Mytilus edulis: one gene and its partners. The protein of the gene in region 2 binds, or shares a complex with, the protein of the main gene of each other region. Links are inferred from orthologs where the notes say so. Each region holds a gene or a part of one and is shown on either strand. Other genes may lie near its edges.

What was found.
Region 1: transcription initiation factor TFIID subunit 5-like (region 2) and transcription initiation factor TFIID subunit 6-like share a complex: the UniProt entries of both Homo sapiens proteins name them as parts of the TFIID basal transcription factor complex. The link is inferred for Mytilus edulis from reciprocal best matches to the Homo sapiens genes TAF5 and TAF6.
Region 3: transcription initiation factor TFIID subunit 5-like (region 2) and transcription initiation factor TFIID subunit 8-like share a complex: the UniProt entries of both Homo sapiens proteins name them as parts of the TFIID basal transcription factor complex. The link is inferred for Mytilus edulis from reciprocal best matches to the Homo sapiens genes TAF5 and TAF8.

What each region holds. Positions count from the first base shown.
Region 1 is NC_092352.1:41,339,517-41,346,543, forward strand, and holds the start of transcription initiation factor TFIID subunit 6-like, read left to right. Parts: upstream 1-3,932; 5' UTR 3,933-4,093; intron 4,094-7,027. UniProt on the Homo sapiens protein: The TFIID basal transcription factor complex plays a major role in the initiation of RNA polymerase II (Pol II)-dependent transcription.
Region 2 is NC_092357.1:14,766,157-14,773,090, reverse strand, and holds the start of transcription initiation factor TFIID subunit 5-like, read left to right. Parts: upstream 1-3,911; 5' UTR 3,912-3,990; coding exon 3,991-4,089; intron 4,090-6,874; coding exon 6,875-6,934. UniProt on the Homo sapiens protein: The TFIID basal transcription factor complex plays a major role in the initiation of RNA polymerase II (Pol II)-dependent transcription.
Region 3 is NC_092350.1:20,035,761-20,043,778, reverse strand, and holds the start of transcription initiation factor TFIID subunit 8-like, read left to right. Parts: upstream 1-4,960; 5' UTR 4,961-5,075; coding exon 5,076-5,214; intron 5,215-5,952; coding exon 5,953-6,051; intron 6,052-6,945; coding exon 6,946-7,008; intron 7,009-8,018. UniProt on the Homo sapiens protein: The TFIID basal transcription factor complex plays a major role in the initiation of RNA polymerase II (Pol II)-dependent transcription.

The DNA of each region.
Region 1 (7,027 bases), on a different chromosome or scaffold from region 2:
ATCCTGCTCCACATGTGGCACCCGTGAGGGTTTCTTATCGTCGAGTTGCAAGTTGCGAGTTAAGAAAGTCGAGTTGCGAGTTAAGCAAGTCGAGTTTCGAGTTACAAAAGTCGAGTTGCGAGTTACGAAAGTCGAGTTGCGAGTTACGAAAGTCGAGTTGCGAGTTACGAAAGTCGAGTTGCGAGTTACAAAAGTCGAGTTGCGAGTTACAAAAGTCGAGTTGCGAGTTACAAAAGTCGAGTTGCGAGTTACGAAAGTCGAGTTGCGAGTTAGGAAAGTCGAGTTGAGAGTTACGAAAGTCGAGTTGCGAGTTACAAAAGTCGAGTTGCGAGTTACAAAAGTCGAGTTGCGAGTTAGGAAAGTCGAGTTGCGAGTTACAAAAGTCGAGTTGCGAGTTAAGAAAGTCGAGTTGCGAGTTAAGAAAGTCGAGTTGCGAGTTACAAAAGTCGAGATGCGAGTTACAAAAGTCGAGTTGCGAGTTAAGAAAGTCGAGTTGCGAGTTAAAAAAACATTGTTTACACCGAATTTTCAGGTTTGATTCACATTTGATAAACAAAACATGCATGCACCTGAACTTAGTTATTCCCGTGATTGTGGGATTTGAAACAGTTTATGTGATACTTATTTATTAGAGTCTAATATAAGTTAAGTTCTGGAAGCATTTAAAAAAAATAATGTATCCTTAAAATGGACAAGATCGATCTTATTTAATTCAATGCGTTTACACTACAACAAAAAAAAAGAACCGATCTGACCATAAATTACCTTTCGTAAACAAATAATCCTAAAAATAGAATAGTAAAGGAAATTCTGCATCTCGCGCAAACTATAACACATTGCAAAATCATTGAGAAAATAGTTTGCTCATTGGAATTTCGTATGGACTTATTAATCATTATTTTGGATCGTACATCACAAGTCATTAAACAAAGATATGTGTGTAAACTATATATCTATCGCTAAATAACGAACGGCCAATGCGATTGATTGTTGGTTGCTTTACGCCGCATTAGCACAAAAAGGCTATATCACGGCCAATGCGTTTGAAGATGAGGATTTGCAGCAAACAAATAGAACTTATTGATTTAGAAGATAATAAAAAAATAGCCGAATCTATGTTTACTTTTCGTATTCCATCCATCATTTTTAAACACGCCGAACATGCGCAGATTTATTTTCATATCTGAATATATATTAACATTCACCTGACAAAAGCGATCGATCTAAACATTTAAACCTTGAAAAAAGATCGATTCAAATAAGATTAATCTTTTTAAAACTACATGTACATCGATATATATATATATATAGACTTTTTAAATCCGATTGAAGATCGATATTTTCCGTTTTCATTATTACATCCATCGTTTTGAAAAACGTGTGTTTTTGCCGCCAAACATAGGTAGTAATTTCCATGCAATCGTGACAGATATGTATAATAAAAGTGAATTATGTGCGAAAATAGATAATGTGCTTACTTCTAATTTGTATTCCCAAATTGAAGTAAACGAAGGGGATATTTTGAATCCCAACCTTTTTAAGATTTTTATAAAAGAATTTAACCGGATGCATTAAATGAAACCCTAGATGCTGTTGATATAAATGACCGCAAAATTGAGTGCCTCATCTTGTTATTTTTTGTCTAGTTCCAAGGCAAGTCTTTCAAACACGAGTGTTTAGAGGTCACTCTATCTAAAACCAAAGTTAATATGTTTAACAAACCTGGAAAAATTTTAAAAGAATATTTGTATTGCGAAAAAGATATAATAGAATGTGTTTACAATTATAAGTATCTAGGTTTAAAATGTATATTGACTTTTTAAGAATGGAAAGGGAGAGCTATACAAAAAATCACTATAAGCAATATTCAAATTGCGAACTTCATCATCTTACAATCCAAGTAATTTTACTCTATAACATATATATATATATAGTGCAGGCGATTTGGTGTCACGATATCACAGTAGCATGGGTTCGAATCCCGGCGAGGGAAGAACCAAAAATTTGCGAAAGCAAATTTACAGATCTAACATTGTTGGGTTGATGTTTAATTTAATTAAGTTTAAAATAACTTATAATTGACAATATCAAACATGTGAACACGTCTATATAACTCAAGTTTAAACCTAAGTGACTCAGTTTAATAAGTTACCCAATACTTTCAGAGGCGGATTTAGGAGGGGGCGGGGCCAGGGGCCCCCTTTTTGGGGAAAAAAAGTGTTTTCTTATATAGGGAATCACTGAAGCGTCACTGGAGCGGGCCCCCTCTTAGGTCAGTCAGTGGGCCCCCACTTATGAAAATTTCTGGATCTGCCACTGACTTTAAAAAAATACGTATGAAATCATGATGTAGTAATAATCATTTTATACTTTCCAATTAAATCTTACCTGTAAATGGCGCAAATATAGTTTTTACAATAGTATCTTTGACAGCTACATTTATAAAATAAAGAATAAAAATGGGGAATGAGTCAAAAAGACAGCAACCAAATCAAAATATACAATTCAACCAAAGGTCATTAGGTCTACAAATTAACACAGCGAAAAATCACACATCTAGAGGGAGCCCTGAGCAGGCCCGAAACACAATATAGATAAATAAAGAATGTAGACGCCATTCTATGCTGCTAAATATAAAGATGAACCAAAATTAAAATGTATACAAGAGCAACAAAGGCTAAAGGTTCCTGAAATTGGTCAGACACAAAAAAGCGGCGTGTTTAAACTGGTTTTATTCACGCCCATCATATCCCCTTTATTTCTAGCCAATGCATAAGACATATATAATTTTAACATCCTCAATTTTGAGTGTCACTGACAAACAATAAATTTTGCGGTCCCTAACGAATATTGCCCGGCTCCGCAGCTGCCCCCAAAAGCCCACTTTATACGAAATCTGCAGAAGGGGTGTTTTACATATATGAAATATAGTTTAGTTGCTATGTCCCTTTACGTTTAATACGACGGTGCTATGTATGAAATTTAAAAATAATTAAAATGCAAGCCATCTGCTGTATTTCAAAAGGCTATCTGCTTCTTCAGAAAATACTAAACGTAGTGATTATCTAGTCCATTTTATTTTTACAAGAGACTCAGATAGAGTCCAAACCACAAAAATAATCAACAACACTATATACAATTCTATAAGAAATCATCATTCCGAAATGTTATCAGTTACCCCAAAAAATTGAAATATTTTAGTTTCCACATTTTTACGCAATTCGACTTTTGTAACTCGCAACTCGACTTTCTTAACTCGCAACTCGATTTTCTTAACTCGCAACTCAACTTTTGTAACTCGCAACTCGACTTTCGTAACTCGCAATTCGACTTTTGTAACTCGCAACTCGACTTTTGTAACTCGCAACTCGAATTTTGTAACTCGCAACTCGACTTTCGTAACTCGCAACTCGACTTTCTTAACTCGCAACTCGACTTTTGTAACTCGCAACTCGACTTTCGTTACTCGCAACTCGACTTTTGTAACTCGCAACTCGACTTTTGTAACTCGCAACTCGAATTTTGTAACTCGCAACTCGACTTTCGTAACTCGCAACTCGACTTTCTTAACTCGCAACTCGACTTTTGTAACTCGCAACTCGACTTTCTTAACTTGCAACTCGATTTTCTTAACTCGCAACTCGATTTTCCTAACTCGCAACTCGATACTCGACAACAAGTGAAACTCGGCACCCGTCGTGTTGCTTATAATGTTATAATACATGATTTCAAAATGTTTAAAGTTAATAACCATAGTTTCGTTCATCTGGCGATTTTATGTGACTGTGTTGTTAATCTTAACTATTTAAACCTTTTATTTCCTACTAATATTGCTCTCACATAATAGTTTTAAAACATTTAAAAAGCAAAAAAAAAAAAAAAATATTCAGGAATCCGGAACAAATTCCTCATTCCGAACTTGTTTATATATTAGTTTAATAACTCTGCTTCCGGTTGTTTCGAGCCGAAAAAGATTCAGCTACCTGTTTTGAATTATTTCCTTCTGGGGCTGTGTTTCGTGCAAATAATTTAAATGTTGCATTGATTTTGACACTTTGTTGAATGCTTTCAAGGACAGGCATGTGGACAGCAGGTACAGTTTTTCCTTCATAGCCATAACTCATTTGCTTGCATAAACACTAGAGTAGAGTAATTACCTCCCCTTTTGGCACTTTTTGAACAGAAATTTAATTGCAGTCTTAAACTTGATAGGCATAATTTAAAAACCGGGTTGATTATTTTTTCAACTAGTCCGAGATTACTCTGATGTCCAACGGCTGTTTTGCCAGACAAGCAGGGGCCGTGGGATGTCAGAGCTCGTCCCATATCAAAAAGTGGATATTTGCCCACCCAAAAAAGATGCGCTGCTTCGTCGCTTCTGATGCCGACTGACAGCCTTGGAATTATATAAATCGGGCGTCAATCTGTTCATTTTTCATTTATCTCTTCATTTATGTAAGTTTCACCTACCTGCCAACCTTGATTTTTCCATATTTTAACAGTTTTCACAGTGACCCATCGATTTCAGCATTTTGCCTTTCATTTTCGAAGATAATCACGTGACCACGAGAAAACAGTGATGATTTATGCAAATGACCATACTGTAACACCTCGTTCATTTACAATGCAAGTTATCTAAATGTCCGAGAGCTTCAGATTGTAACGTGGTCAGAACTACATAAACATGTAAATGCTTCATACCGATCTCCTGTAAAGGAGGTGAAAAAATATAAATATTTGCATATTTTGAGTCTCAAGACCACAAACTCTCTTGCCATTGGGTGCTATAAACAGTTTCGTATAAAAAACTAGGGGTTATTCCCCGACTAAAAATAACCATGGAGGGAAACCCCTGTTTATTTACTCAATTGGTGAAAAAGTATCATGTTTTTTGTATTTGATTGTAAAAATTAGTTAATTAGCTTTGAATTAAAACAGGTTGAATGATTGAAATAATTTTTGAAATTATATTAACTTTACATGTTTTGAGGGGAGACAACACTGTAAACAACCTGTTTTTTTGGCAGTGAAAATTGAAAACTTATTTGCAGCCACTGTAGCTCTTTTTGGAGCAGGAAACCGTACCCTGAAACAAGATTTTTTTGAAAGGCCAGGTAAAAACCTACAAATTTCATACAGTTTTGATTATGTAAAATGTGCATGGATCATGTCTTCATGGGTGTGCACATGACCTGGTTTCAAGTTTTTGTTGTTCAAATTAGACCTTTTTTCCCCCATGTTCATTGGATGGAATATTTTTTATATATTAAAAGTACACATTATTTTTATTTCATTATAAACTAGTGAACATTCTGATTCCAGTGATATCTAGTTTTATACAAGTATCTTTATTAATCAGTCCACCACTAAGGGTCACTTATGCATGGTCCCTCAAAATGTGACGTCATAGAAAAAAAAACTGTTGATTGCACCCATTTGAAAGTAAAAGTCAAAATGCCGAAATCGATGGGTCACTGTGAAAACTGTTAAAATATGGAAAAATAAAGGTTCGCAGGTAGGTGAAACTTACATAAATGAAGAGATTGACGCCCGATTTATATAATTCCAAGGCCATCAGTCGGCATCAGAAGCGACGAAGCAGCGCATCTATTTTGGGTGGGCAAATATCCACTTTTTGATATGGGACGAGCTCTGACGTCCCACGGCCCCAGCTTGTCTGGCAAAACAGCCGTTGGACGTCAGAGTAATCTCGGACTATTTTTCAACATAATTTTATTTTTCAAGGATTGATTTATTGAAAAACTAAAAGCAATCTGATTAGTGATTAAATCTGTAATTGTAAACTCCCAGGTTTATACATTTTATGTATACATGTACATAATGTTCTAATTATTTTTGTCCAAATAATTATGACGTCTCGGAAGGCTATTTTAATCTTCTGCTTTGACCCCTTTAAAAATAGTCAATATGAACATGATGGAAAGGTATCCACATCATACTGCATGATTACAATGTATCTGAACTTGTACAGGTCAAGAATAACTATTAATTTATATGACATGTATGAGTGATAAATTAGTGGCTTATACCTCAATTTAAGTATAATCCACTATTTGACGTACATGTACAATGGGATACACCAATACGAATACGAAAGTTTTATTTTGATTCGGTTCACATATAGCAATACATGTATTTTTGAAAGAGTTTTTTACCGAATATAAAATCATTAAAACACAAACATGCAGACAAGATATATAACAATGTTACACAGCCTGACAGGCATATTGAAATACTAGCAAAGATATAGGAAGATGTGGTGTGAGTGCCAAAGCACTACTAAAATACATATCTAAACAGTTGAGGTATAATGCATTTTTTAATTTTATCCAAAATAGATTTTAAGATATACATGTACATGTACAACTGCTGTTGTTTTTTTTGTTTTTTTCTATGGTCGGGTTGTTGTCTCTTTGGCACATTCCCCATTTCCATTCTCAGTTTTATACAATGTATATTGGAATTTGGAGCATCTTATTCGGTTACATATACCATAACAAGCTTTGATGACCACTTACTGACTTAGCTTCCTGCTAATGATCATGGTGTTGATCAAGAAACCAGAAAAGTAAAATTTTGTTGAACTGATGTATAGGGAGTTGATTATTAAATTTACTTTAATAGTATTAGTAAACTCAGTAAAAAAACACTATTGTCTAAAATCAAACAGGGATATGCCAATTTTGCAAAATACATTTTTTTACTAATAATGCCATAAGTCACACATGATTCGTTTTAAGATATAAGACCAAATAAAATAATATGTTTGGTCCAGTTACCAGTACATGTATATATCTTAAAAAAAGTAAGGGAAGGTACATGTAGGTAGGGATTTTTCTTTCTTTCTTTCTTTTTTTTTTTTTTTACACTGCTCAAGTCTATCATGTTTATGTGAGCAACATAATGTCTTTAACCATTGTTAAGGAGGCTCTCAGGTATAAATCATTTTTTTTTCTAATATAAGATTTCGCTATATTTTTCTATAAATGAACTTTATCATATACCT
Region 2 (6,934 bases):
ACGCTAATTCATCATCATCGTTTTCATCATCATCATCATCAATAGGAGTTCTCAACTGAACACATGGTTGCAATACCTTGGTCTATAGCTGAACACATCAATTGGAGTCTTAAAAATAAACGATGGCAACGTCTACTTAGACCTGAAAGTAAACAAATGTACATGTAGTTGATTAAACCATTAACCCTAATAACGTTAAAACTTATGGATATCTTGCGTTCAATGACAAAACAGAATGCAATTGTGTAGAGTATAATAGTGTTTCATATTTTCAATCACGTTCAGTCTTCATTTCAATTACTTTAAACGTCTAAGACTACAAATCAAGAAACTTGGGGGTTGGAACAGGCAAAATGATGTTTTGAGATTTTTCAGGAATGTATTGTACTATTCTGATGCAGTCTGCACCAAAAACTTTTTCAACTACTAGTCCGAAGACCAATATTCCGACATTTTTCTTATTGGTCCAAACAAAGTTTTGCAAAAACTTACTAGTCTGAAAGAAACTTTACTAGTCTGGGGCATCGGATTAGTGGCTAACCGTGCAGACTGCAGTGATGAACCACTCGTCACATGATTGGGAGCATGTTTAAACCTGCCTTATTCTGCAAGTGCCTATGCAAAGTCAGGAGCCTATTATTTAGTGGTCCTCGTTTGTTGCGGTTACATATTTCATTTTCATTCATTATTTTTTACATAAATTGGGCCGTCAGTTTTATCTCATTTACATTAGTTATTTCGGGACCTTTTATAGTCGACTGTGATATGGGCTTAGCTCATTGTTGAAAGTCTGATGGTGACCATTGTTATTAAATTCTGTCATCTGGTCTGTTATGACGAATTGTTGTATCATTTTGTTCTCGTTCTTCACAGGACAAATGAATATATAACAAATGAAGGAAATGACACAAAATTGGCTGGATTTGCAGCTACTTCACTACTGAACCAAGTAGGTTTATAACGAAAGTGAATGTTGAAAATCTGTTCACTTGTTTGACAAGTTATGTTATCCACGTTCCATTGATATACACCTTTTCACTACATTCCCATCTGAAGTGTGTTGGCTTTGTTCACACAAAATATCGTGCCTCAAACTTTTCATTCAGAGGCATCATTTAACCGTTGTTTACCCTAACAAAACATTTTTATGGACTTAATTCATCTATTGACAAAATTTCATCCATGTAACAATAATGCCAAACTCGCACTATCATTTTCTGTTACTGATCAGATGACAGTGAAATTAAGGTCAAAACTAATTTGACATTAAAATCATATATTAATCATGTCATATGGTAGATGTGTAACCTCAGAAAAAACTACCTTGACCAAAAAATTGAGCAGGACGGACAGACAGATTCACAAACCGAACAAGTTAATGGTCCTAGGTTGGGCTTAAAATTCGTTCTTTTAACTAGCAAAATTTCAAATGGCCACTCTTTTCTCAGCTCATTGATGATGACTTTAGTTTTGTTCAACCATCTCATCAGCAATTTGTCTTGGTAACAATTCCCCCTGGAAAAGACTAATTAGCGAAAAGGTGTATTGATCTTTTGGAAATGGTCCAGATAGTTCACAGTGCATTTCTTTAGACAATATAGGAGAGAGGAGAAAAAAAATACCACCTGCACTTTCTCAATATAATTTATTTAGTTTGTACTACTACTTTTAAGACAAATTATATCAAAATTATAGAAATAGGCTCCAAACTGAAATATTGACAGCTTCTCAAGTTCTAATTTATAACCTTTTTCAGCAGGACCAAATTAAATCACTACTTATACAAGCTAATATAATTACCTTGCCCTCATCTTCCTCCTTTTACGCTTCAACCTCCTCATACGCTTCTTACGCCACTGAAAAAGAGAAGTCCAATGTAAACTTGATATAAAATTTTACCACTCATAACGAGATTCAATATGGCTGAACAAATTAGACGGAGGTTTACAAATGTAAATAGGATAATGTTAAGGAAATAAATACTCAAACATACATAGGTACATCATATCCTAGAAAAAATATGAAACGAAACAAACTATATCGTTGAAGGCCATTGGGCGACCCATAGTTAATAATTGCTATGTCATTTTGAATCCGGGTCCGTTTGCCCTGATTCATGTTCGCCCTAGTACCTGTTCGCCCTGATTATTATTTTTTTCTAATTGTTGTCTTGTCGCATTATTTTAAGTATTTGAACAAAATATGTTAAAGTTTGTTGAAAAATTGACAGAATATTAATATTGCCGCAATCAATTTATCATTTTCCCTTTGATTTGCAGAGTAGAATACTGGAATACAATGTATTTATCTTTATTGATATTTGTTAACAAAATCATTGTAATCAGTCAATCACGAAAGTATGCAGTATAAATTATTGTCATAATGAACTTGTAAATCCGTTTCATAATTTACAGTTCGTACATCATTGGTTTTATTAATTTCAAGCTGAATATTTTATTAAAATAAAACGTTTGTTTTTATTATTAATCCATCAAAAGACAAGTTTCACAATAATCAGTTATCCGAATTATTTTGTCATTGAACAATTAAAGATCATAAACAAACCATAAACTTTTAAATATTTCAATGTTTCCATAAATTTCAAGAATATACATGATATATATATACCATAGAAATATCTGAATAAGTTTATTCAACTTAAACTAAACTATACTAAATTTTAGCCCTGAATATTTTATTAATATTTTTATAGTAGGGCGAACGGACTCTGGGCGAACGAACCTAGGGCCAACATGTTATTAGGGCGAACGGTCCCGATACCTGTCATTTTGGTCTTTTGTGGAGAGTTTTCTCATTGGCATGGATTATTAACAAATTTTTGGAAAATAAGTGAAATTCCAAACGTTTCGAAGGGGAAAAATCTGTAGCTCTCATAGTAAATATATAACATTCAGACCTTTGGCTACATGTAAGGTTCCGAGGCCAATATGAAAGATGCTGGGTTTGGGAAGTTTTTTGGTACTTGCCACTCAAAATTGGTTCAGCAATAAGGTGGAAATCCAGTTACTTTTGAAACACGTGAAACAATTCAACTTTGAAAATTATATGGCTTTCTTTGAAAAGTTTTGGGGGAGGGGGTAGTCATAAATGCGCACTAAACGATGGTTCGTTGATTATGACCATTACCTGGCAGAAAAGGGGGGTCAATTTCTGGAATTGCTAGGCTATCTTAGTATTCAATTTAAGCACACGCATTGTAAATATGAATAATAAATATAATAGATATTGTTGAACAATTGGTTACTACAAGACACGAGATGTGTTGACAGACACCCACGGACTTCGGCTTCGCATGCTGCACCAGCAGTCCACATGGTCCAAGTTTTACGTTCAAAGACCTCAAATTAAAATTTATACATCACGAACAGTTTTGCCACATATCATTAGAACTCTGATATGCAGTATGTTGCAATTCACTAAGTGTCACAAATGAACTTTCTCCCCGCAACAAACAACATTCATCAATGGTCGGACGTAAATGCGTGTTATCCGACATGTTTATGTGCAAGACTAATTCGATAAAAAATATTAAGTTACATGCTTACCTTTGCTCTCATCTTGCTATATTATCTGAAAGAGATGAAAATACAACTGTAGAATAACAAATTAACAGAAGATGACAAAAAGTTAGAGTGATTCAAATGGATTTGTTTTTCGAAAATTTCATACGACCTACCAGCAACACGAAAGCGGAAGAAAGGACATAGCCTATGTTCAAAATGGGTTATTTAGCATTAGGAATAATCTATAAAATAAACATATAAATGATATCAATCACATGCAAATTCGAAACAATAAATATTTTTCTGAAATATAATATGCATCTACTTTTAGTTTATTTATTTGTTCATTTTATTTTTATAGAAAATTTAAAGACTATTGACTGGTACCTTCCAATCCTATACCTATCTTCCCTATGGTGTGTGAAGATGCGGACGGTTAACAGATTAAGCGAAAACCACTTTTAAAATGAATAGTTTACAGTCACAGTCTTCTCCTAAATCAGATGTTTCAGACAAACAGACACTATTAGCTGTTTTACAATTTCTAAAGAAAAACAACTTAAAGGTCGACCAATCTATATATCTTGATCAACTTCGTATATAATTAATTATGCCCGCTATTTCGCCCCTGTTAGTGGTAACTTGAAAATACTCTGAAGTCAGTTTCCCAAACCAATAGCCTAAATAGTCAATACAGGTCTAAACTAACAGTACATTACCTTTTATCCTAACTGAACTAAAACTTTTATTTTAAACAAACCACAACAAAAAAGATGAGCCATAGGCCTAAAGTATTGTGTAGTCAACTGTTCTCGTAGTAATCATTTCTCGATAGCAATGTGCATGGTTAAAATAAAAGTAGTACGCGAAATCGCTCATGTTTTCTATATTTGTTGGTATTTCAAGGACAGAATAAAACTTGCTTCAAGCAAGCATTAAATTCAACATTTCAAGTTTTCAGACATTTTACAACAAACAGGCTATTAATATTATTTGAACTTGGAATTATTTTTAATTATGGAATTTGCTTGATTTCGTGTTATTGAAATTTTTAATAAATTCCATGTTTAGTCTGTACTGAAATGTTCTGTGCTGCGCACAACACTTTCTATTTAACAAAGAAAATAGTATATTTTTAATAGAATGTACTGTGCTGCGCACAACACCATTGTATGGAAAGTGTTATCAAGGATTTGTATAGTACTATACAAATCCTTGGTGTTATTAACCGCTCAAAAGATCATAATACCAAATAAACATGGAATTTATAAAAAAATTTAAACACAAGAAATTATGCAAATTCCATAATTAAAAATAATTCCAAGTTCAAATAATAGCCTGTTTACAGTAAAAATAATATTTTCTGATTTTAGCCTACTTTTCCTTATTCCCTCAGTTCATAAATAGCATGTTTTCAAATGTAAACAAAACTTAGCTCGAAAAGAAGGTCAAGTCCACATACATACATGTAATACACAATTGTAAGATCAGGGATGATTCCACTATATAGTTCAGGGCCGCTGAGCGGCCCTTAAATTGGCCAGCGGCCCCCAAAAAATGTACATGAAAATGAATTCCCAATTCAGGAAAATAAAATAAAATCGATATTTCAGGAAAAGTTTCTGTCACCGATTAAGGCAACTATAATTTTTCATAGTTTGTTGTCAAAACGTTTTAAAATCCAGATAAGAATGCTGTTTACGGTCGCATCTTAGTAACAACGATTCAATTATGTCAACATGTGGGAAACAATTTAAACAGCCGAATACAATTAATTGATATGTTATGGTAGTATTGGATCTTGTAAAAGCAGATCGGCCAGCAGGTTGATAAAAATGGGTGTCAAAGCAGACCTCGGCAGAGAGCAAATTCAAATATAACATTGATGGATAAGGTTTAATGGACGCCGATCTCGTAAAAGCAGATTGCCCAGCAGAGCCAGTTATATAATATGATGAACACTTGTTTTGTAAAAGAAATTATTTCCTCAAAAGACAAAAGTTTGAGCGTTTTTTGAAAATAATGTTGATGATAGACCATTCATGAAATACGATGTCATCATTATTGAACTATTTCAAAAGTTTTGAAGATGATCCAAATAATTTTAAAGAACACTGGTTCAATGCTTTAGATATCTTATCAATCAAGTATATGAACCTTTGTAAAATTTTTGCTTTTCTGAATTCGACAATTGACCAGTTCAATTTGAAATCCATTTGAATTCAGGTAAATTTATAGAGATGACCTGCTGTTGAAAAAATACCTGATGAATGATTTTTTTCAATGGTTAATGTTAGCTGAAATATATGTTTTTATAATAGGCCTAAGTAACTATAGCTAAGATGATAGACTAGTGCATCATGTTCAATGATATTCATGTAATAACAGTAGCCCATCCAGAATTATTCAAAATGTTACAACTTACATGAACATCAGTGTACAGACATGACAGGTTAAACTTAATAATATACATTTTCCGTTTTTCAGAAAAATAATGTTATTTCGTCTTAGATTTTATGCTTAAAAAATTCCCAATTAGAATAAAAATTCCCAATTTGATGTTCAAGGGACCCATTTGAAAACACCTGGAATCATCCCTGAAGATATGGTGTGATGTCGCTATGACAATCTTAATATCTTTGTTTTGTTTATATTAGACCAGTTTATTGTTTACATGAATTAATAAGTTAAAATTAGAATAATATTAGTTTAAACATATTTATTTATAGGATTGGGAAACAAGTTATGGTAACTTATATTAATCCCTTTCCACTTTGCGGGTGCGAGTGCTGCCTTGTAGAGTATTAATTCCTGGTTCAAAACATTTGTGTAAACATTCCATGTAAATCAAAATTTTATTCATTGTCCATACATTGCAAACAAATAAACACAAGCTCTGGTAAGCTTTTAAAATTGACATTATAATACATTACACAGAAACAAAATGACATGCATTTAATAAATCACTTATTTTAGCATGTGTTCATTAATTATCCTGAATGTTGGAAGTTTGCTTTGAAGAAAGGTTTCTGAAAGATTTCTGAAAATTTCAAAATTTTTTGATCAGGGCATATATTGTACTAGTTGCGGAACCATAGCTCTTAGGTCCTTATGCTATTTTTTGACTATTTGGGGACCGTAGCTAATACTGTAGGTCATGTGAACCTTCAGTCCAAAGGTCAATATTAGGTTTTTACTGGTCTACCAGTCTGCATCGTTATCAAATAGTTCAATTTCCAAGACTAGTAAAACATTACAAACATTTACTATTGTAAGTGGTAAAAACCCTATATAAAAATAAGGAGATGTTGAACTGAGTTGTGCAAAGTTGTTCACTTTTATTGTTGTAGTGTACAGAAGAGTTGTTAAAGAAAGAGGCTGGGGTCACAGATGATGATGTTAAACCACAA
Region 3 (8,018 bases), on a different chromosome or scaffold from region 2:
AGATCTGGAAAACACTTTTTTTTCACAAATGTCAGTTTATTTTTGGTAACTACAGTACAATACTCCCATGGGAGGATTGCATTATTTATAAAGAAAGAAAAACTACAACCTTGACCTCAAATTGAAACTTTTATTCCGGTACCACGATTTCCCGAGAAATACAAGAACTTTTATAATATCCCCAAAACAAACTGATATATCCCGATAAAAAGATTTGTTATGGTGTTATGCTACTTTTAATGGTGTTACTGTTTACTACTTTTAACAATATCAAAGAATATTAATTAAAGATATTTCTCGTTTTTCTCAATAAAAGTGCAATTATGTACACTTCAAGAATTCGATGTGTATGATACACATCGAATTCTTGAAGTGTACATAATTGCACTTTTATTACTATGCCTTGTATAAAAACTATAACTTCTGCCATATTGTTTTCAACAAGGAGTTTGCATACAAGATATACAAATCGTTTTTCTGAAGATTGTGCATACTTTTATTAATTATGAACGCCTTAATCCTTATAATTGTATGCTGTTACACTAATTTAACACAGTATAACACCATGAAAATCTTGTTATTGGGATATATCAGTTTGTTTTGGGGATATTACGTTGTACTTGTATTTCTTGGGGAAATGGTGGTACCCCTTTTATTCTGGATTTTTTTTTTCTATTTTTAAACAATAACCTTGACCTTTGACATGGTGACCTAAAAGTCATTAGAGTCAATAGAGATGTACCTCTCATTATAGAGACTGTTCATTAATGATTAATTACAATCTCAATCTGATATCAAATATTTCTGTAAGCATCTTGAAAAGAAAATTACTTGCAGATTGACAAGTAAAAAAACTATCTCCACTGCCAAATTCCCTCCTAATTTCATAGTATGGGTAATTTGAAACAGCCATTGGAGACATGGATGATGATGATTTGGTAGTGATGGATTCAGGGGGATTTAAAAAAAAAATGGGGTTGGGTTCTGGGTGGTTCCCCCCTTTTATTTCGAACGATCAAGGCATTTGAATGGCTATATACACCCTATAAAAACTTAATGTAAAGAGTGGGAAAATGTAAAAAATAAATTAGGTTATTGTAACAAGGATTTGTATAGTAAGATCCTTGGTAATAAGAATCAGTTATTTTATTAGTACATTTGCATATCTATCCTCCATCCTCCAATTTAGGAGGGTGTGCCCTGTGTCTTACATGAGGCACATTGGCCATTGCAGCTCAAACAAAGTTACATTTCCAAATAATAATCAATGTTTCTATCAATTACTTTTAAACAATCAATGAGAGACAAATCAATGAACAGTTATCATTGTGTGATATTTCTAATGTGCTAGTAAAACATTGTTTGCATTATGCAATGTCAATAGAACTAAGGTTATAGGATATACCCGCAATTACAGTGGTGAGAGGTGCTCCGTGTCCCAGTTTGAAACTTTATATTTATTGTTTCATTTAAATTGCAAACCTGAGAGGTAACCTTTTCCATATTCAGCTGTCTTAAATGTATAAATTTCGATGGCAAGCGTGTTTTCAGCAATATAACCTCTGGCAAAAATGTCACCGCCGCAACACCATCAAAAAGAAGTGTTAAAACCTTTCCCACAGTCCTGAGTAATATACAATTTATGTCGGACGATCCCGGACGTTTTCGAATTCTCAGTTTTTTCTGTAATGTTCTGTCCTGTCTGTGGCAGGGCAGAAGAGCGACATGTATTTATGGAACTTCAACTAAATTTGAAAAAAATATGTATTTTCTATCTTCTTCTTCCTGGTATAAGCCTCCTTTAATTAGGAGCTTTTTTAAATGATAAAACAAAATTTCCAACATATGTACAGCACATATAAATAAACAATAAACAATAGAAATGTCATGCAAGGCATATTTTCATGGACCTTTTTATTGCAAACTATTCTACCATACAAGTATATTCACTTAAGTATGTGACTTAGTTTTATTTATATTTAAAATTATGTTTCATTTGAATTTGCTTTTTAATATGCATAAAATGTACATTAAAAGGAGGTTTCATTTAATAAGATCTATGTATTAAAATAATAATAGGTTGTTTGCTTCAATATAATCAAATGACATTCTGATGTAACAGGAATCCAATGTTGATTTCAGATTCATTATGTTTAATGTATAATAAGTATATGAGATTACTAAAAATAAATAGAGGTAAAATATTACAAAGTGCATTTACTGCAGATCAAGAATTATCTAATGAAAACTTAAAATGATATTTAAAGTACTTAACTAAACTTGATACAAAAAAAACAACATTTTAAATAGTGATAAGATACTTTAGGCAGCAAGCTGACATACAACTACAAAATATCAAATCTGGAGCTGTGGACAGTAAACTGGTGCTTTTCAGTAATATTTTTGTTCCAAATTTTGTTCCCTACTATCTTTAAACCAATCTTACAAAAAATATGAAAAGACTAGTAAAATTATACAACTACGTATCAGTGCTCATTGTTTAAATATAGAACGGGGTAGATATAATAAACCCCAAATTCCAAGAGAACAGCGTTTTTGCAAATTTTGCACTAAAGTAGAGACTAAAGCACATTTTTTGATATCTTGTGATAAATATAAAGATATAAGGCAAACTATTTTCCAATCTTATGGTTTAGATTTAAAAGATTTGTGTAATGAATATTTTTTAGTTTCTAAACTTTTAAATACCGAATGCGTTAGAAATAAGAAACAATTTTTAAAAATATGGTTACAATTATATTATTATATATATATTACATGTGACACTTTGAAATGTTGTTTTGTAATATTTATAGTTATCTTAATAATAAAGAAGATAACTGACATATATATTTACATTTCATGATTTGGTAAAAAAAACCGCTCAGACTATATATTATAAAGCAAAAATTCTCTAAAACTGACATTATCAAGATGTTTAGTGTTTGTTGGTTGGCTACATATTTGTTACTTTAGGCGGACGCTTTCGAGATGTTTCGGCCACACTTCTAGTTCGTCCACATGTCGTTTCGGCCACCAATCAGTTCAGCCACAGTAGTTTTGGTCACATTCTAAGTTCGGACATTCGTTTTAATGAAATTCATATTGTTCTTATGCATTGATTGGTTTGGCAGAAGTTGGGTTTGAAAGGAATTTTTCTTACCAAAAAGTATTTTTGTACAAAATCGGATAAAAAAAATGCAAATAAAAATGATATATTAGAAAAAAAAATGGATCATGAATAAATGTCAAGGACGTAAAGTCATATGCTTAAGTATTATCTAGGGGAAGCCTATATATATATAACTATCATATTATCATATCAATTAATATCAACATTTTACATACCAGACAAGAGATTATATGTATTACAATTAAGTGGTGAGATTCTTATAAAACATTGAATCTGAATGTAATGTTCTGCTACTATTTCAGGTTAATTAGGGTGAAAGTTGGCACCAGTTAAAACGTTTAAACCTGTTGTATTTGTTTGCACCTGTCATAAGTCAGGAACCTGTAGTGGTGGTCGTTTGTTAATGTAGTTCATAAGTGTTTCTCGTTTCTCGTTATTTATACAGATTAGACTATTGGTTTTCCTGTTTGAATTGTTTTGCAATAGTCATTTTGGTGTCCTTTATTGCTTGCTGTTCGGTATGAGCAAAGTCTCTGTGTTGAAGGCCATTCTTTGACCTTTAAGTGTTTAATTTTAACAAATTATGACTTGAATGGAGAGTTGCCTCTTTTGAACTCATACCACATCTTCTTATGATTATCAAAAGTCCATTACTCTAGTATCCAGCTCTACATCGTAGCTTAATTTTCTTCCTTTTTATTTCCGGCTTTCTGCTCTAGCTGCTTTTTATACATTATTTTATACGGATCATTGAGCTGCTATAAAAAGCCAATTTATATGTTTATGCTTTTTAGTTTGTTAGTCATTGCTGGTTCTCACCCATGCAATGCATATGAAGGTGTTTGCAGCCGTGATGAGCACCATCATGAAGTGACCCTGGACGTCCAGAAATCACTTTTTTTTTTAAATTATTTTATTACATTCACATAGGCTACTTTTTTTAAAAATCTTATTTCTTAGTACCTGAATGGAGGCTGAGCAGTGTGATTTTTATATGATAGTATGAAAATTTTTCTCTGTTATGGTGAACATATATGCCGACTTTAAATTCTTTATTCCCAAACAAACAAAAACAATTTTGGTAATAGCAATACAGATACAAAACAAACATAATAAAAACTCAGCAATAATAATATACATGTTAAATATAAAAAAAACAAAGCCCATACCGCATAGTCAGCTATAAAAGGCCCAGAAATTATTGGTCTCATTTCCTCCGCAGTGTATTGCAATTTACATATTTTTCAATACATTTTTAAAGGTTTTTCTATTATTTAAATTAAGTTTACAGTTAAAGAAAAGGTGGAATTCATCAACTAAGATGTGACATATTTTACATTTTCTTTCATGTCTTGGTATTTTTGTATATCGTCCAGTTTCTGATTAAAAACCAATGATCACTTATTCTAAATGTAGTTCACATTTTTACTTGTTTCTTTTTTGGTGAGTAAGGTTGTGACTATTATTCCATTTGATTATTATATATATGAGATCATCCTTGATGAGATTTACGAATTTTCTTTAGATACATTTAATGACTTTCATTCCGCTGGTGTTGTTTATTCATTATTAGCCGGAGAGTTTGATAATAATTAATATACCTTTTTTTTTAATTAGGATTTTAACTTTTTCGTCTGTTTTTGTGACAATTTTTTAAAAGTTTATCACGAGTATGTTCCTTCAGTATCTGTTTTTTTTGGGTTTTTTTTTTATAGCTGGGTTAGATAACATTTAGGGACCTACTTTCTTATTTGGTACGTGACTAGTCGATTCATTAAACAAACTAATTTCGGTTAATACCTGTTTTCATTCGGAATGAGACCTGAATACCTCTAGACTTTACCTCAGGAAACAAACATGGAAGTCAAAGTGACAACAAAAGCCCATTTATTGTTGAAAACGATCAAATAATGGAGTAATTTACATACTAACCACAGCAAAAATGGCATCCGAAAATGACCAACATGCTGTTTCATCGCGGAAAGCATTAAAAGTGGCAGTTAGTGCACTGTGTTTAGAAGTAGGGTTCCAGACAGCTGAAGAGTCAGTCATTGAAACATTGACTGAAATGCTGGAAAGTTGTAAGTTGTAAAAACTGTATGCCATTTCAATGCTTTATAGAAACTAACTGAAACAACTCCAAAAGCCTTAGGCCTTTGAAGGAACAATAGCAGCAGGGAGCATGATACTGGTAAATACACCTTATGTCAAATTATGACAATTTGTCAGACATTAGTAATGAGGGGGGATAGGACCTTTATCGGGACTCCGGGATTGGGTGTTTTTGAGCTCGGGATTTCGGGATCCGGGAATTCTTCTTTTCGATTTTCGGGACCTCATGATTTAGTGATTTTAAGCCGGGATTGCGGGATCTGATGTTTTTAAGCCCGGAATTTCAGAATCAGGACCAGTCCTACCACCCCTCAGTAATTACTGGACATCACAAAGGTTCCCGTAAAATTTTGACGTCACAATAGAAAATGTTTGACTCCACAATGGAAAAATGATTGTTGTTGGATGTCAAAAGTTCAACCGGCGTATCTTTAAATATGACTTTTTTCTTTTTTTTTTACCCTGTTAAATATATACTTTTAAATACTAAAAGTCTTTGTTGTATATCCAAGATCTTGTGCTGTGCTTTTTAGTGTGAATGTCAATCTGATCAGTCAAGAACCTTACCTGGGCCATTGGTGTATTACCTATGAACATTATTTGTATTTGGATAATATTTTTATTAACACCTAACATAAATAAAATTACTTAAATACTATTAGAGAATACCATGATATTTTTAGGAACTCCTTTATTTTTACTTAAAGTTTTAATGGAGCTTGGCAGGAGTACACAGGCCTTTGCAGAATTAGCTGGCAGAACAGAAGGAATCATGACAGATGTTATAATGGCTTTGATTGAAATGGGTTTGTATTATATATTATGTATGATACATGGTTATACATATATAGATATAGGAAGATGTGGCATGAGTGCCAATGAGACAACTCTCCATCCAAGTAACAATTTATAAAAGTAAACCATTATAGGTCAAAGTCTGACCTTCAACACAGAGCTTTGTCTCACACTGAACAGCAAGCTACAAATGTATAAAGCGCCCCAAAAATTACTAATGTAAAACCATTCAAACGTGAAAACCAATGGTCTAATCTATGTATAAAAAAAATTGTTATACCCCTTGCAAAGTTTGGGGGTACATGTATATAGGAACCATGCTGTCTGTTTGTCCATACCAACTTCACTATTCTTTATTTGATTTATTTCAAACTTTGTAGATTAATTGATCAGGATATGCAAGCATCACCATTTGAAGGATTTTTCATTATGTTTAGAATATCCATGACTATGTCCCTTTCATCACAGAAATGTTTACCCTTTTTAGAAATTATCCTGTCCTCCTTCATGGTTTGTCATATCTACATGAAATCTAAAATTGAGAATGGAAATGGGGAAATCGGGCAAAGAGTGTGTCAAAGAGACAACAACCCGACCATAGAGAAGGCAACAGCAGAAGGTCACCAACAGGTCTTCAATACAGCGAGAAATTCCCGCGCCCGGAGGCGTCCTTCAGCTGGCCCCTAAACAAATATATATACTAGTACAGTGATAATGAACGCCATACTAAACTCCAAATTGTACACAAGAAACTAAAATTAAAAATAATACAAGACTAACAAAGGCCAGAGGCTCCTGCCTGGGACAGGCACAAAAATGCTGCGGATTTTGTTGAAAAAATACCCATACAAAAGAGATAAATATAAATTTTTTATCCATGTATAAATTTATGTTTGCATTTTTAGGTCAAAATATTCATGCATTACCAGGGCATGCAAAAAGACCAAATAAAACAGTATTTCTCCCACGTAAGTTTTTCAAGACAGACATGTTTTACACAATTGCATATCATGTTTATTTCACAAAATAGTCCAAGTGTTTGATAAAACAAGAGTAATAAATTACACAAAAAATGCCATATCTTAGTGAAAAAATCTCAAGGCTACAAATATTTTTCTAAATGTTCCTTGAAATTTCAAATTAAATGTTTGATTTCAATAAAATTGGTACTAGTTTCTTACCCACTATTCTCTCTTTTTGGTATAATATTTTCAAATATAGCAAATTTTACAATTTAAAATGGAGGAAGTTTGTTATTTGCATAATTCAACCTGAAAATTTATGAAAAATGTATTCAAATTGAAAAAACTTTTTATGGATAGTCAATTTCAGTATCTTAAAAATCTTGATTGTTGTCAATTGCAGAGTTGATATTGGCATTATTTTTACTTTAAATATTGTTGTAAAATTGACATGGATTTTTCTTTAGCATTGATCTTAAAACTTTAAAATATGTACATGTATATGCAGTGGTCTCGCTAGCCCAAAATAGAAGGGCGCCGCGCCCTGGGTGCCCTCAGCCGCGCCCTGGGTGCCTTCATCCGCGCCCTTCTGCCCTGACGTCTTTTTCCAAAATTATCTTGTGCCGTTTTGGTAAAATTTTGTTTCATCGATTACTGATCTCCAAGTTAATTACATATATGACACCTGTGTGATTGCCCCCAGGTTAATCATGTCATTACAATCAATTACAATGATAAAGACTTCAAAGGTGTTAATAACTAGGTAATTTAATTAGGACAATGTATCTTTTTGTCATACTTTTGATGAATGTGTAAGCGAGTGTGTTTAGCTTGGGTCAGCATTTTCGATCTCCAAGTCACAATGGAAGAGCGTATAAATGAAGACTTTCATGACTTTAGAATTGAATTTAAGTCATCAAAATAAAACTATGCCTTTACAGAAATGCCTTCCATCTCAACTTGTTAGCGACAAGCACAGTTTTTAATTAACCCAAACGTGGTGGAAATTGATTTTG